Solanum lycopersicum: one gene and its partners. The protein of the gene in region 2 binds, or shares a complex with, the protein of the main gene of each other region. Links are inferred from orthologs where the notes say so. Each region holds a gene or a part of one and is shown on either strand. Other genes may lie near its edges.

What was found.
Region 1: nuclear-pore anchor (region 2) and nuclear pore complex protein NUP35 share a complex: the UniProt entries of both Arabidopsis thaliana proteins name them as parts of the nuclear pore complex. The link is inferred for Solanum lycopersicum from reciprocal best matches to the Arabidopsis thaliana genes NUA and AT3G16310.
Region 3: nuclear-pore anchor (region 2) and nuclear pore complex protein NUP98A share a complex: the UniProt entries of both Arabidopsis thaliana proteins name them as parts of the nuclear pore complex. The link is inferred for Solanum lycopersicum from reciprocal best matches to the Arabidopsis thaliana genes NUA and AT1G10390.

The regions. Positions count from the first base shown.
Region 1 is NC_090802.1:65,951,798-65,956,561, reverse strand, and holds the start of nuclear pore complex protein NUP35, read left to right. Parts: upstream 1-1,654; 5' UTR 1,655-1,931; intron 1,932-2,033; exon of another isoform or gene 2,034-2,114; 5' UTR 2,115-2,128; coding exon 2,129-2,715; intron 2,716-3,604; coding exon 3,605-3,716; intron 3,717-4,764. Other genes in the region: uncharacterized protein, read left to right, coding at 1-66.
Region 2 is NC_090805.1:38,986,126-38,989,707, forward strand, and holds part of nuclear-pore anchor, read left to right. Parts: coding exon 1-3,582. UniProt on the Arabidopsis thaliana protein: Component of the nuclear pore complex. Acts as a docking site for activities required for desumoylation and mRNA export. Required for the proper expression or localization of a subset of miRNAs.
Region 3 is NC_090803.1:1,583,040-1,587,746, forward strand, and holds the start of nuclear pore complex protein NUP98A, read left to right. Parts: upstream 1-1,380; 5' UTR 1,381-1,566; intron 1,567-2,516; 5' UTR 2,517-2,570; intron 2,571-2,680; 5' UTR 2,681-2,730; coding exon 2,731-2,749; intron 2,750-3,126; coding exon 3,127-3,396; intron 3,397-4,707.

The DNA of each region.
Region 1 (4,764 bases), on a different chromosome or scaffold from region 2:
TCGGCGATAACTGACGACTCGCCTGACCAATCTAAGTTCAAGGAACCACTCTCTGCTCCCTTTTGATTCCTAACTTCCTCTGTTATATACAAATAAACACGTCATCTTCTCCTTGTTTACTTATTTACCGATGTAATTTTATTTTATTTGTTTTGGAGTCTAACTAATTCAGATTCACATCATGTAATTGTTTTTTATTTATTTTGGAGTCAAACTAATTTAGATTCACATCATGTAATCACTTAAGACGCATAATGAAATGGAAAGATTTAATATTAGGTTTTTTTTCTTCATTTCAACAGCTCGAATCTGACATTTCTGCTAGAGTAACGTTATATTATTCATCGGTATTCTAGTGTAAAGGGTTCATAGTGTTTTCGTGTATTTATTTTTTTACTCATTTATTTATTTTTTGTAGCATGTTCCCACTATTTCCGCTAATTTTTTTTTAAGAATATAGCATTTTCCCCTCTAGTAGCTTAACCACAACAATTTTCCCACTAGTAGCTTAATCATAATAAAGATGAACAATAGGTTCAGGGTGATAAAGTTATGTGATTTATTTATTTTATGATGAATGAAATGATATTTTTGCATTTACTCTAAATTATTATATTGTTTCAGTGTGATGGAAATTACTTATTTTATGTTGCAACAAGATCCAATTGACTCATAATACAAACCTATTGTTAGTTTTGATAGTTTTTAAAATTTATGTGTATAAATCATATTTTCGATAAAAATAAAATACGTCTTTTAAATATTATAATCAAACACATCGTGAAATTTCACCCAAATTTTAACATTAAGACATTAGATGTTGTGAGAGAATTTTGGAGAAATGGATTATTTGATGTTTTTAGGGCTTTAAGGATGTTGTACAAAATTGCTTGATAGACGTAGGATCGACTCTTTTCCATTTTTATTGTCCCTATTTTTCCTTAGTTCTAGCTTTGACTAATGACATATGACACAAGTTAGATTTAATGGCTAAGATTTAATTTATTGAAATACAATCATGATTTAAATAATAAATATATTATTATATCAATTAAAATAGTCCTATTATTTCTCTCTTTTCTCCCTATTCCCTCCCAAAAAATTTTTTGTTGTCGTTTAATTAATTAATTCAAATTTCAATTACGCCAACATTCGCTAAACCCCTTGTGTAAATCCCAACCATGACGATCCCAATTGGCTGACCACATTAAGGAAAACTCGACATTTACAAATCGACTACAACATTAGATGATAGAAAACTTTACCAATACTTGAAAATTTATAAATATTAGTCCGAACTTTCCCTTCAGATTTGTCGCGATCTTTATTTGTAAAGAAATGGAGGCTAAACGTAGTAGAGAACAACTGAAGTGTCGTAATTTATGATGTTAATCATCCACCTTGAAGTAATTGTGTAGGTCATGAAATGAAATATTCTGAAAGTAATAAATAAAGCAAAGAAGATTTTGGAGGGAACAGGGAGAAAAGAGAGAAACAATCGAACTCGAAGAAAATAGTTAGAAATATATCTTCATTAATTAATATAATAATATATTTATCATCTAAATTATGAATTTGAATATATTTTAATTAATTAAAATCTAACTTATCGATATATCATTAATAAATACTAGCTCTTGAGAAAATTGGCGACAAATAAAAATGGAAAGGAGCCGCATTGTTACGTATATACAAGAAAACAAGAAAAGGCTTAATTACCTCTGTATTAATATTGGACCAAAAAGCCCGGGCACATTTTAGTTCAGTGTTCAACCCAAAGGACAGTAAGTGTCATTTGGTTGAAAGCCACCGCTGGCCTTTATTTGAATTCATTCACACAGTATTATAATTCTAGGGTTTTTCGCTCTCGCGCTCTGCAACCTAAACCCCCCATTTTCAAATCTCAGTTCTTCGTCTTCCAATACATCCAGGTATTCTCCTTTCTGTCTGCGTAATCAATCTATTGAAATGTTTTAACAATTTAATTCATTAGTTTCATGGCACAAATTGAATGTACTTCGTTTTTTTCTCAGATAGGTTATTTATATGTACTAGCATATCCGGTAGCTTCGTTAGTTAATGTTCAATCTCTGAGAATTTGATTATATCATTAGGGCTGAGAGAGAGAATGAGTACAGCAGTGCGAACCCCGAAAACTGGAAGACAATCACTGTTCTTCCAGGATTTAGCTACACCTATTTCTTCCCGGAAATCTGGGTCGAAATTCAATACACCAGGTCAGGCAGCAGCTGTTTCTGCTTTATGGCGTGAGAATTTTGCCAGTTCAGATCTGCCACCACCGCCTGTATTTACCCTTGAAGATCGATCGGATGTCTCTCCGGAATCGGGGATTCCTGAATATATTACTTCGCCAGAAATCAAGTCGGACCCTAGAACGCCGGTGCTTAATTCAGGACGGGAATTTTCAACACCTAAGAGTAAGTCTGAGGCAAGTACTTCATATGCACTGATGGGTAAGCAGCAGCAACAGAGTAAACAAAGCCCCTTGCCAAGTTTGACATGGTGGTCACCTGCAAAGGGTAGTGGTAGTGCTGAGCAGGATGACAAGGACAAAGGTTCGCCAGTAGAAGGCGTCGTACATCCTGGTGCTTTGATAACCTTACCTCCACCAAGGGAAGTTGCAAGGCCAGAGATCAGGAAGAACTCAATCCCTGTGGGAAACCTTAATGAGGAAGAATGGGTCACAGTTTATGGGTATGCCTATATCTTTCATACTTTATTCTATGCCCTTCCACTTATGTTCCTGATAGTAGTAGGTGTATTAGAACTCCTTGATGCTGCATGATATTCTTTTTTTTGCTGTTAGCTCATTAGGGTAACTTCTAGTTCAAGCTGTTGCATTGTAAAATGTGTTGCTAACCACCCATGGTTATCATATATTCCTTTTTCTTTTCCTTTACTTTCTGTTCCTTCAGTAGAGTTATTACTTTCAACTAGAATCAGATGTTATCTGTGTTATTTTTCATGGCAGGGTCTTGAGGATATCCTTTGAGGTTAGCCAAGTCATAATCTAAGGTTCCCTCTGGATGGAGAAATTTAGATTTTAGGGGGTCCAAATTCACAAGTATTATAAATTTGAAGGTTTGAATTTAGAATACGTCCTATCAAATGTTTTTTGACTCATTTGATATTAATCTAAGTGAAGGCTTACAAGGCATGTGATTTGTGTTTTTATTTCAAATCCATTTTTTGTGAAGTAAATCTGAGCAAGTGAAAATGATATGAAATTGGATGACCTGACAATACCGCTCCATCTAAAATAGGCCTTAAAAGACAAAGAAATGTCGACGTGAAAGAACATGGAGAACAAAGTGGAACGTTATTTTTATGCAATAACTTGCTTTTGTCATCCTTTCATGTGATAGCTGTGTTTGAAAAATAAGAGGAGTATTGATGCATTCTTGCTTTTGTTTTGAGTCTCTCTTGATGTGCTGAGGTTATTACTTTTATGATCTGTGTTCCTTTCAGTCTCTTTGAGTTGTTATATAGGGACCCTAATATCCGTACTTCTCACATTTTGCTGGCCATTTTCCCTTATTTTTGGTCTTTTATTTATCATTTACCTTTTGATTGTTACGTGCAGGTTTTCCCCAATTGACACCAATTCAGTTTTACGGGAATTTGAGAAATGTGGTGTCATTTTGAAACACATTCTGGGCCCCCGAGATGCTAATTGGATGCACATTCTCTATCAGGTATGTCATATACCTATAAACATGTCATCATGTTCAGCTTCTGTTGTACATGCTTGTATACATACTGTCTTAAGAGCCTATTTGGTGTTCTATTGTTCTCGGTTATGTTGTAGGAGTACCATGATTTCTAGTGTCAGTTAACACTTACTTGCCACCGCTAAACTGCACCAAAACAAGATCTCCCTTTCTTCTTCATTATTTTACTTTCCTTCACCCCCTTGTAGAATTTATTCTGAACTTTTACCCTTTTTTCCTGTTCTTTTATCTTCCTCTCCAACCAACTTATCCTTTCTCCCCCTTTTACTGATGCTCATTTCTTTGTTGCTTCAACTTTTTGGTTTTGTTTTATTCTATGTGTATATTGAATATTATAGTTTTTTTATTTTGATACGAGTACGATTTTCTTGCTAACTGCTGACATTCGTTTGTAAATGTTGCTGAAATACGAGTTATATATCGTCTTTATTGCTGTGAATGAAAATAGTGACAAATCCTTCATTACAATACCTCTACTATAATCTAGAAGTGTCGTGACTTTTCGTTCTTTCTTGATTCTGATACTCTACCAAGCAACCCTTGTGTAGCTTTTTACCTTCCCATAAGTAATTCTGCTTACACTAAATTGAATTGTATTTGGCTGGGGAACTTTACATTCCTCAAGCAATTCAAGTATTCATTTTCTATGTTAACTCAGCATCTAGTTCTGATAAATTTATCAGAACTAGATTAGGGCTTCTTTGCTTTTGACATTTGCTGTTACTTAACTGTATATTTTACAGTAATAGGGCTCTGAGCTTAATTTTAGCCTCTTTTTAGAAGTCCGCTAACCCTGTGTTGGTCTCCGCAGCTGCGACTGCTGGTCTGACCTGACCTTACCAAGCGTCTTTCTTTGGAATGATTTCTACCTTTGCTGTGAAGCCAATAAATAGTGTGGCCACTTGCAATGCCCGTGATATGTAATCTCTCTTTGCAGGGATATGTTTGTTTTTTTTTAAAAAAAATTGTCCATTGTATTTATTTTTCTCTGTGCAATCTTTTTGCTGTCAAT
Region 2 (3,582 bases):
ACTGGCAAAAGCAGATGAGCAGGCTACGATGATTAAATCACTTCATGCATCTGTGGCGATGTACAAAAAGCTCTTTGAAGAGCATACAGTTGTTTCTTCTGATGCTCAATCTGAAAAATTAGCAGAGGTTCAAAGGCCGGAAGTGATGCTTTTACCTGATTCTTCACATGAAGTTTTAGGGAGAGCACAAGAACGGGCTTTTGAGCGTGTAAAATGTCTTGAAGAAGAGTTGTCAAGATTACGGGGCGAGATTATTTCTCTTCGATCAGAGCGGGATAAGTCAGCTCTGGAAGCACAGTTTGCTCGAGATAAACTTGACAGGTATATGAAAGATTTTGAGCACCAGAAAGAGGAGCATAATGGTGTGATCACGAGAAATGTTGAGTTCTCACAGTTGGTAGTTGACTATCAGAAGAAGCTGCGAGAAAGTTACGAGTCATTGAATGCTGCTGAGGAACTTTCTCAAAAGCTGAAACTGGAGGTGTCTATTCTAAAGGATGAAAAGGGTATGCTGGTAAATGCCGAAAAGAGAGCTTCAGATGAAGTACGTAATTTGTCACAAAGGGTGCATAGTTTGCAGGTCCATTTAGATACATTGCAGAGTACTGAGAACGTTCGTGACGAGGCAAGAGCTGCTGAGAGGAGAAAGCAAGAAGAGTATATCAAGCTTATTGAGAAAGAATGGGCTGAAGCTAAGAAAGAATTGCAAGAACAGCGTGATAATGTTCGAAACCTTATACCTGAGCGAGAAGATGCTCTAAAGAATGCATTGAGACAAATTGAGGAAATGAGGAAGGAAATGACTAGCACTTCACATTCTGTAGCTGCTGCTGAAGCTAGAGTTGTTGTTGCTGAAGCGCGATCTGCTGATTTAGAGGAAAAATTGCAAGCTTTTCAAAAAAAGGTTTCTGAAAGAGCTGATGAAGGCGGTCCTTCCTCTTCTACTGAACTTTTTGACAACATGGATTCTGCTGAAGAAGTTAAAAGACTCAGAGAGGAGGTGCAGGTTAACAAAAATCATATGCTGCAATATAAAAGCATAGCTCAGGCAAATGAAGAAGCATTAAAGCAGATGGAATTGGCTTATGAGAACCTCAAAGTAGAAGCTGATAGAGTGAAAAAATCAATGGAAGAGGAAGCATTAGCGCTTAGGAAGAATGTTGATGAGCTTGAGAGAGAATGTAATTTGAAGTCAATTGAAGCAGCTTCCGCAACTGCAGGAAAAGAAGAAGCTGTTGTTGCTGCTCTAGCTGAAATATCCAGTCTGAAAGAAGATACCTCAGCTAAGACGTCACAAATCTCAAATTTGGAGGCTCAAATATCTGCTTTGAAAGATGATTTGGACAAAGAGCATCAAAGATGGCGTGCTGCTCAAGATAATTATGAGAGACAGGTAATTCTGCAGTCAGAAACAATTCAAGAACTGACTAGAACATCTCAAGCTTTGGCAACCTTACAAGAAGAGTCATCTGAGCTCCGTAAATTGTCAGATGTTCTAAAATCCGAAAATAATGCATTGAAGGCCAAGTGGGAGGCGGAATTGTCGGTGCTAGAAGTATCAAAAACTGAAGCTGAGAAGAAATACACTGAGGCTAATGAACAGAACAAAATATTACTGGACCGGCTTGAGGGTTTGTATATTAAACTGGCTGAGAAGGACCGTGTATCTTCAGGTGTATCTGCTGGAAGCACAGTGGCCGAGGGTGATGACGGGCTGATGAATGTTGTGAATTATCTAAGACGGTCCAAGGAAATTGCAGAAACAGAAATTTCTTTGCTCAGACAGGAAAAACTTAGGTTGCAATCACAGCTTGAGAATGCTCTGAGGAGAGTGGAGGTAGCAGAAGCATCTCTTAATTCTGAGCGGGAGAGTTCAAGAGCTCAGGTTTTAAGTGAAGAGGAGTTCAAAACACTGCAGCTTCAGGTTAGAGAATTGAACTTACTTCGTGAAAGCAACTTGCAGTTGAGAGAGGAGAACAAGCACAATGTTGAAGAATGCCAGAAACTTCGCCAAGCTGCCCAGAAGATGAAAACTGAATTAGAGGATCTGGAGAAGCTTCTTAATGAAAGACAAGCTGATGTAGAAGCTTGTAGGAAAGAGATTGAAATGCTGAAGCTGGATAAAGAGAAGCTTGAGAGGAGGGTTAGTGAGTTGGTTGAGAGGTATAAGAATTTTGACCTAGAAGAATATGCAAGTCTAAAAGAAGCTGCTTCACAGATGCAGGTGAATCTGAGAGAAAAAAATGAAGAACTGGAGAAAGTTAAGAAAGCCATGTCTGAGCAGCAGAATCTGTTAGCTGACTTAGAGCAAGACCTGTCAAGGAGCAGAACAGAATTGAGTCAGAGAGAATCGAGAATCAATGAGATTCTGCAAACTGAGGCCTCGCTGAGATCCGACGTTGATAAACATAAAAAGTTGACAGGTCTAATGAAGAAAAGGGTTGAAAGCAACTTGTTGAAGGAAAAGGAAAGAGCAGACAGCTTATCAAAGGAAAAAGATGATTTGGCTAGAGAGAATCAAGCTCTCTCCAAACAGTTGGAAGATGCTAAACAAGGGAAAAAAACTGCTGATGCTGCAGATGAACAGGCTTTGAAAGATAAAGAAAAGGAGAAAAACACCAGAATCCAGGGGCTTGAGAAGATCACAGACCGACTTAGAGAAGAGTTGAAACAAGAGAGATCAAAGCGCTTGAAGATGCAAAAGACAATAGGGGATTCCTATGGAGCTGTGAATCAGCAACGGTCCAAGCTATCAGATGAAATCGACAAGCATAAGCAGGCTCTGAAGATGCTTACTGATGAAGTTGAGAAGATAAGGCAAACCAAAGGCAGTCAAACGGAGGGCACGTCAGTGGATCAACTACTTTCGGGGACTCACTTGGACGATTTTACTGCTGCATATCTTCAGGCTGTAGATGACTTTGAACGGGTTGCACGTAATGAGCTCGGGGTTTCTGGTGCTGGTGATGCTTCTGCTCCAGATGCTTCTCTTTCTGCCTCTGTTGTTCCAGGCCCAGCAGCTACGCTTCCGCCACCAGCTAGCTTGGTGACTTCCATTCCTGCAGTTGGAAAAGCAGAAGAAGAAAGAAGACTTGTTTTATCGAAGATAACCTCCGAAACTCGTAAAACCGGAAGGAAGTTGGTTCGACCACGCATCACAAAGCCGGAGGAACCTTTAGTTGATGTAGAGATGCAAGATACAGATGAATCCACCAACAGTAGGAAGCATTTGCCACCTCAAAAGGCAGAAAATCTTGATAATGCCACATTACCAACTCAACCACCAATTCGCAAGCGCCTATCTGCAGCCTCTACCTCCTCTACCTCAGAGTTACAAGAAGAGACTCCTGCCATGGATGAAACCTGCTTAGATGTGGCTCAACCTGTGCTTAAGAAGTCCAAACATCTAGAGGCACCTCAAGAGGGCGGTGAAGATAAATCTGTTGATAATGTAGAAAATTCAGAATCTCTGCCTACTACGGAGGAACATGATGCTGGAGATGAAACCCAAGGTTTGAAAGAGGAAGCTAGTGATATTGAGAAGGATGAGACTACACTTTCTGGCGAGCAGGTTGAAGAGCC
Region 3 (4,707 bases), on a different chromosome or scaffold from region 2:
TAGTTCGTTATAATTTCAGTAGATGTTTGGTTGATTTGATACGAAGTTTCAAAAAGTATATGAGGATTCCGAATTTGTGGTCTTATGATGTATTAACATGTTCTTTTAATTTTTTTCTCTCTTAAACAATTATTAGGTGGAAAGTTCCAATTAATGAATTGAAAAGAAATATGTATTAATTTAAAATAAACTGTAAAGGGAAGTGAAATAAATTAGGTAACATGTTAAAAGTATTCCAGACGTTTAGCGTTTAAAAAAAATCGTTTTGAGTTAAAAGATTTTAGATAATGATCGTGAAAAACTGGTGTTATAATAACATGCAGTATTTTCACTCACTAATTGAAGTGTAAAGTGCGATGCATACATATAAGATATTCGTTTTTAAGTATGCTTCACCATAATCGCAGCATAAATTTAGTGTGTTTTATGTATTTTTTCTTAAGATAATATCAAAACTTGAATTAATAGGATTTGAATTTGACAATATTTCGTTGTAAGTTTTCTTCTACGATAATTGATAAATGGACTTTTACTTTTCAAATCTATGTACAAGTTTGATCATAATGTACATTCATTGGAGAAACAAAAACAATGACAAAAAAAGAAGAAGATGATAATGGCTAAAGCAGTATTAATCAATTATGAGCTGGTTGGGTAACAATCATATACAGTATTATTTTTCTTATTGATCTTCAAGCGATGTTGGTTAAAAATCAAAATATTCTATCAATCAAAGGCGCTGAGGTAGATTTCTATGTTCACGTGGAGTATACATGTATTCATTAACTTCGCATGACATCATGTATATTATGTTAGTCCATCTCGAGAAATTAAAAAAATAAAACTAAATATAGTTATCAATATCCTCGTAAAAAGCATGAAATGGTGCTTTATACTGCTAGCACAAGTTAAAAGATCCGCCGATGCGATCAGAGTTTTGTCAAATTTCTTTTTTTTAGCTTAATATTAGTGTATTTAGACTTTCCAAATCTTGGATTCGCTTCTCGAACTATGTAGTGTAATTGTTATAATATGTTCGAATTAATGATATTATATACACATATGCACATATATATTATAAAATTGGCTATTCACATTTTTTTATACAAGGAAACCCGCAATAACTAACATGTTTGAATTGATTTATTTTAAACATTTTAAAATATAGAGTTCAAATAAAAAGAAATATACTTTTAAATAATCATTTTTAAGTTCTAAAAAATACAAATAAGTTAAAGAAATTAAATTTCCTCTAACTTGTGAGTATGACAGTAGTCGGATCCTTAATCGGATACAAATAGTTTCATGTTAAACGGGCGGGCGGGTCTAAGCCCATTAACCGAACCGTCAATAATTAGCGTTGTTTAAAAGCTACGTTGCCTATTTGTATGATGCAGCGACCTTCTGATAGGGCTTTTTCCGACCAAAACACACACTCTAACTCCGCCGAAGTTGTACAAACGCTAGCTTCCGGCGACCTTTTCAGGTGATATTTCTGCTGCTTTCAGATCGAAAACGAGCAGCTAGTCGTCCGTCGGCCGGCAACATCTTCCTTGTACATCTCAGGTAGCGCCTTTAACCCTAGCTGTTACGATTCCGATTTCTATTCGGTTTCTCCATTACTTTATCAATTAATGTGATATTTTTAGAGGAACTTTCAAAAATAACAAAGATTTGAAACATAATGAGGCAACAATAACTGTAGTTTGCTAAATACATAGTTTACATGTTAGAGGGAGGGGAGGAGAGGAGAGAAGAGACGCGGATTGTATTTGTATGTACGTTGGACAATTGTATATAAGTAACTAGTATGTGTATGTATCAATGACTGTTTTTGTGTACATGTGATTAGTATGTATATGTATCAATAAATACAATAGTATTAATGAATACAATTTGTATCCATGAATAAGTTGTGTACAATTATATTAATTATTTTCCCATATTTTTATGGCCGAGGCTTATATATGTGGAAATCTATTTCTGAATGTGGATTTCTGTACATCCATTATCAAGCTATTGGTGACTTCATTCAACCAGGGACTTCTAAAGAGTAAGGATGATTGGCTTTGCATAGCCGAGATTAGCAAGCATACAGCAACCTAAATAAGAATATAACTTTTGTTGCAAGTTGCAACCTTTTTGATTGATATTTTTGGGGCTTATAGATTTAAATCAAGCATTTAGTAGTTGGTCATCAACACCTCCCCTTGGCATATTACGTAGAGCCTTCACCCTAGCGCGTTAGGTTTTTTATTTCTGATTTTGTTTCTGTTTCCTATACCTTATTCACATTCCACCCTAATGTATACAATATGCTTGTATGGATAATTTGACATATTCAGTTTTTTTTTGCCTTAATTGAGGGGGGAAATCAAGTCCAAAGTTGTACTTCTGCACATAGATGCAGTGTTGTCATTTAAGCACTGTTTTTACATTGATTTACGTGACGTTTTCAAGTTTTACTTTCTTAATAATGGATCTTCTTATTCTTTCCTTGTTTATTAATTTTGCAGCATAATGCATATACCTAGTGCATAGGATTTTTTTCATTCATTGAGGCATTATATGTAAGTGGAAACAGTCTTCTTTACTTCCGTTTCATTGAATTTTCTTTAGACGTATATTTCTACTTCAACAACCAATTGAGAATGATCTGCGCGTTCTGTCCTTTTTGTAGCTTAACTTGGACACTCCAACAACTGCTGGGAAAGATTTGACTATCCAACCATGTTTGGGTCCACGAATGGTAAGTACTTGCAGCTGTCTCAACATCTTTTTTATACTTGAGAAATCTATTCCCCCCTCTCCCCCCTTTACTTCTAATGAAGATAGTTATGACTCGTAGCTTTACTTACATTTTCGTTGAAACTGATACTCCTAACCAGAAATAAAGGATTAAAAAGGACTTGCCCATTCTTATTTTCAATAGCTGCTCTTTTCCACAGTGCACCCGCTCATCTTTCCATTAATTTGCTTCATTTCATAGAAACTATGCCTTTTTTATTTCGATTTGTGTAGTATTTTCTGAAATTTTCTCGTCTATGGTACAATTGTTAGTCTTCATTTTCCTCTTATCGTATACAGTGAGGATGTTCACTGCTGACTGCTTTCTGTTTGTTTCAGCTTTCGGGCAGTCATCTTCTAGCCCATTTGGGTCACAATCAGGTTTCGGGCAGACAAGTAATAACCCATTTGCTCCAAAACCTTTTGGCAGTACAAATCCATTTGGTTCTCAATCAGGTGCTTCCTTTTTTGGTAGCACTTCCACTGGAGTGTTTGGAACCCCCCAATCTTCTTCACCTCTGGGGTCTACATCAGTTTTTGGTGCATCATCCTCACCTGCATTTGGAGCTTCTACTACCACTTTTGGCAGTTCATCACCAGCATTTGGGAGTAAGTATTTGTCTCTTCAAGCTTCATTACATAATTGTGTTATATATATATTTTTTCAGAATGCAATCAATGCTTCATCTCTACAAGCTTCCTTACATAATTGTATTTTAGATGTCTTTTTTCAGAATGCATTCAATGCTTTATTGTATTTTATAGTATTGCTTACACCAAATGTGTTGATACCATTCATCATGATTCTGGGTTTACATCTCAGTGGCCCATGAGGTGGATAGTTAATGATCATTTATTATGCATGTGTCAATGACATTAGGGCTGGCTCACCATTATCAGTTACCACCACTCACCCCCACAATTACCATCCTCAACAGTCGCAACCACCACCGCGACCACAGTGCCAATTATTACAATCAACTATCATCGCTGTTAGACAACTACCAATCATCACTAGCCGCCACCATTATATATAAGACAGCCTCCATAATGATTCGCAACCATCATTTCCTATCACTATCATTCACCACCACCAACTATCTTTATCAACCACCACTTCCAGCCACAACTAACTCCTACCTCTAACACCTCCAGTAGCCAACACCATCCTTCATTGACACCCACAACTACCACCGCTAGCCAGCACTACCAACCATCTTTGATTTTTAAAAATATTGTATTGATTTAGCGCTAGATTGATTTGGTATTTCATTAAATTTTATATTAACTTATTTTTAAATGATTTTGTAAAACAAACAAACTTAATTATTTAGCATTCAAGTCTTAATACAACGATAGAAAATATAACAAACCCAGTATAAGATGTATGTAGCCTTACCCCTATCTTTAAGGTGTAGAGAAGTTGTTTACTCGAACCTCATCAACCGTCCTCCTTTATCGGGGCTTAAGATCATCAATGTAAGCGAGCTCACACAAGCGGAGTTATATTCAGATGTTGACAACGAAGTCTTTTTGTTTAGTGTATTCAGATTCTAACATCTTTGTCTTGATCAAAAACCAAATGCTAAGTAGTAAGTACCAATGCCTGCATAAAGCTCAAGTGTATTATTTGTCTATTCAAATGAATTTGTGTTGTTATTCTCTTACATGATTATTAATGATATTTCCTATTTAAACCTTGTATCTGGAAATATTTTATATATTACGGAGAAATATGCTGTTTCGAGCTTCAAAACATGGTAAATACTGGGCGTGCATGTCTACCCTCCTTCACCTGTAGACTTTGAATCAGGGGAGTATACAATGTGAATTTTAGTGCTAATATTTTTTCCTGAAAAAAATAAATTCATTTACTTGTTAGGGAGGTTATTAGTGCTAATGCAATTTTTATGTAGGAGA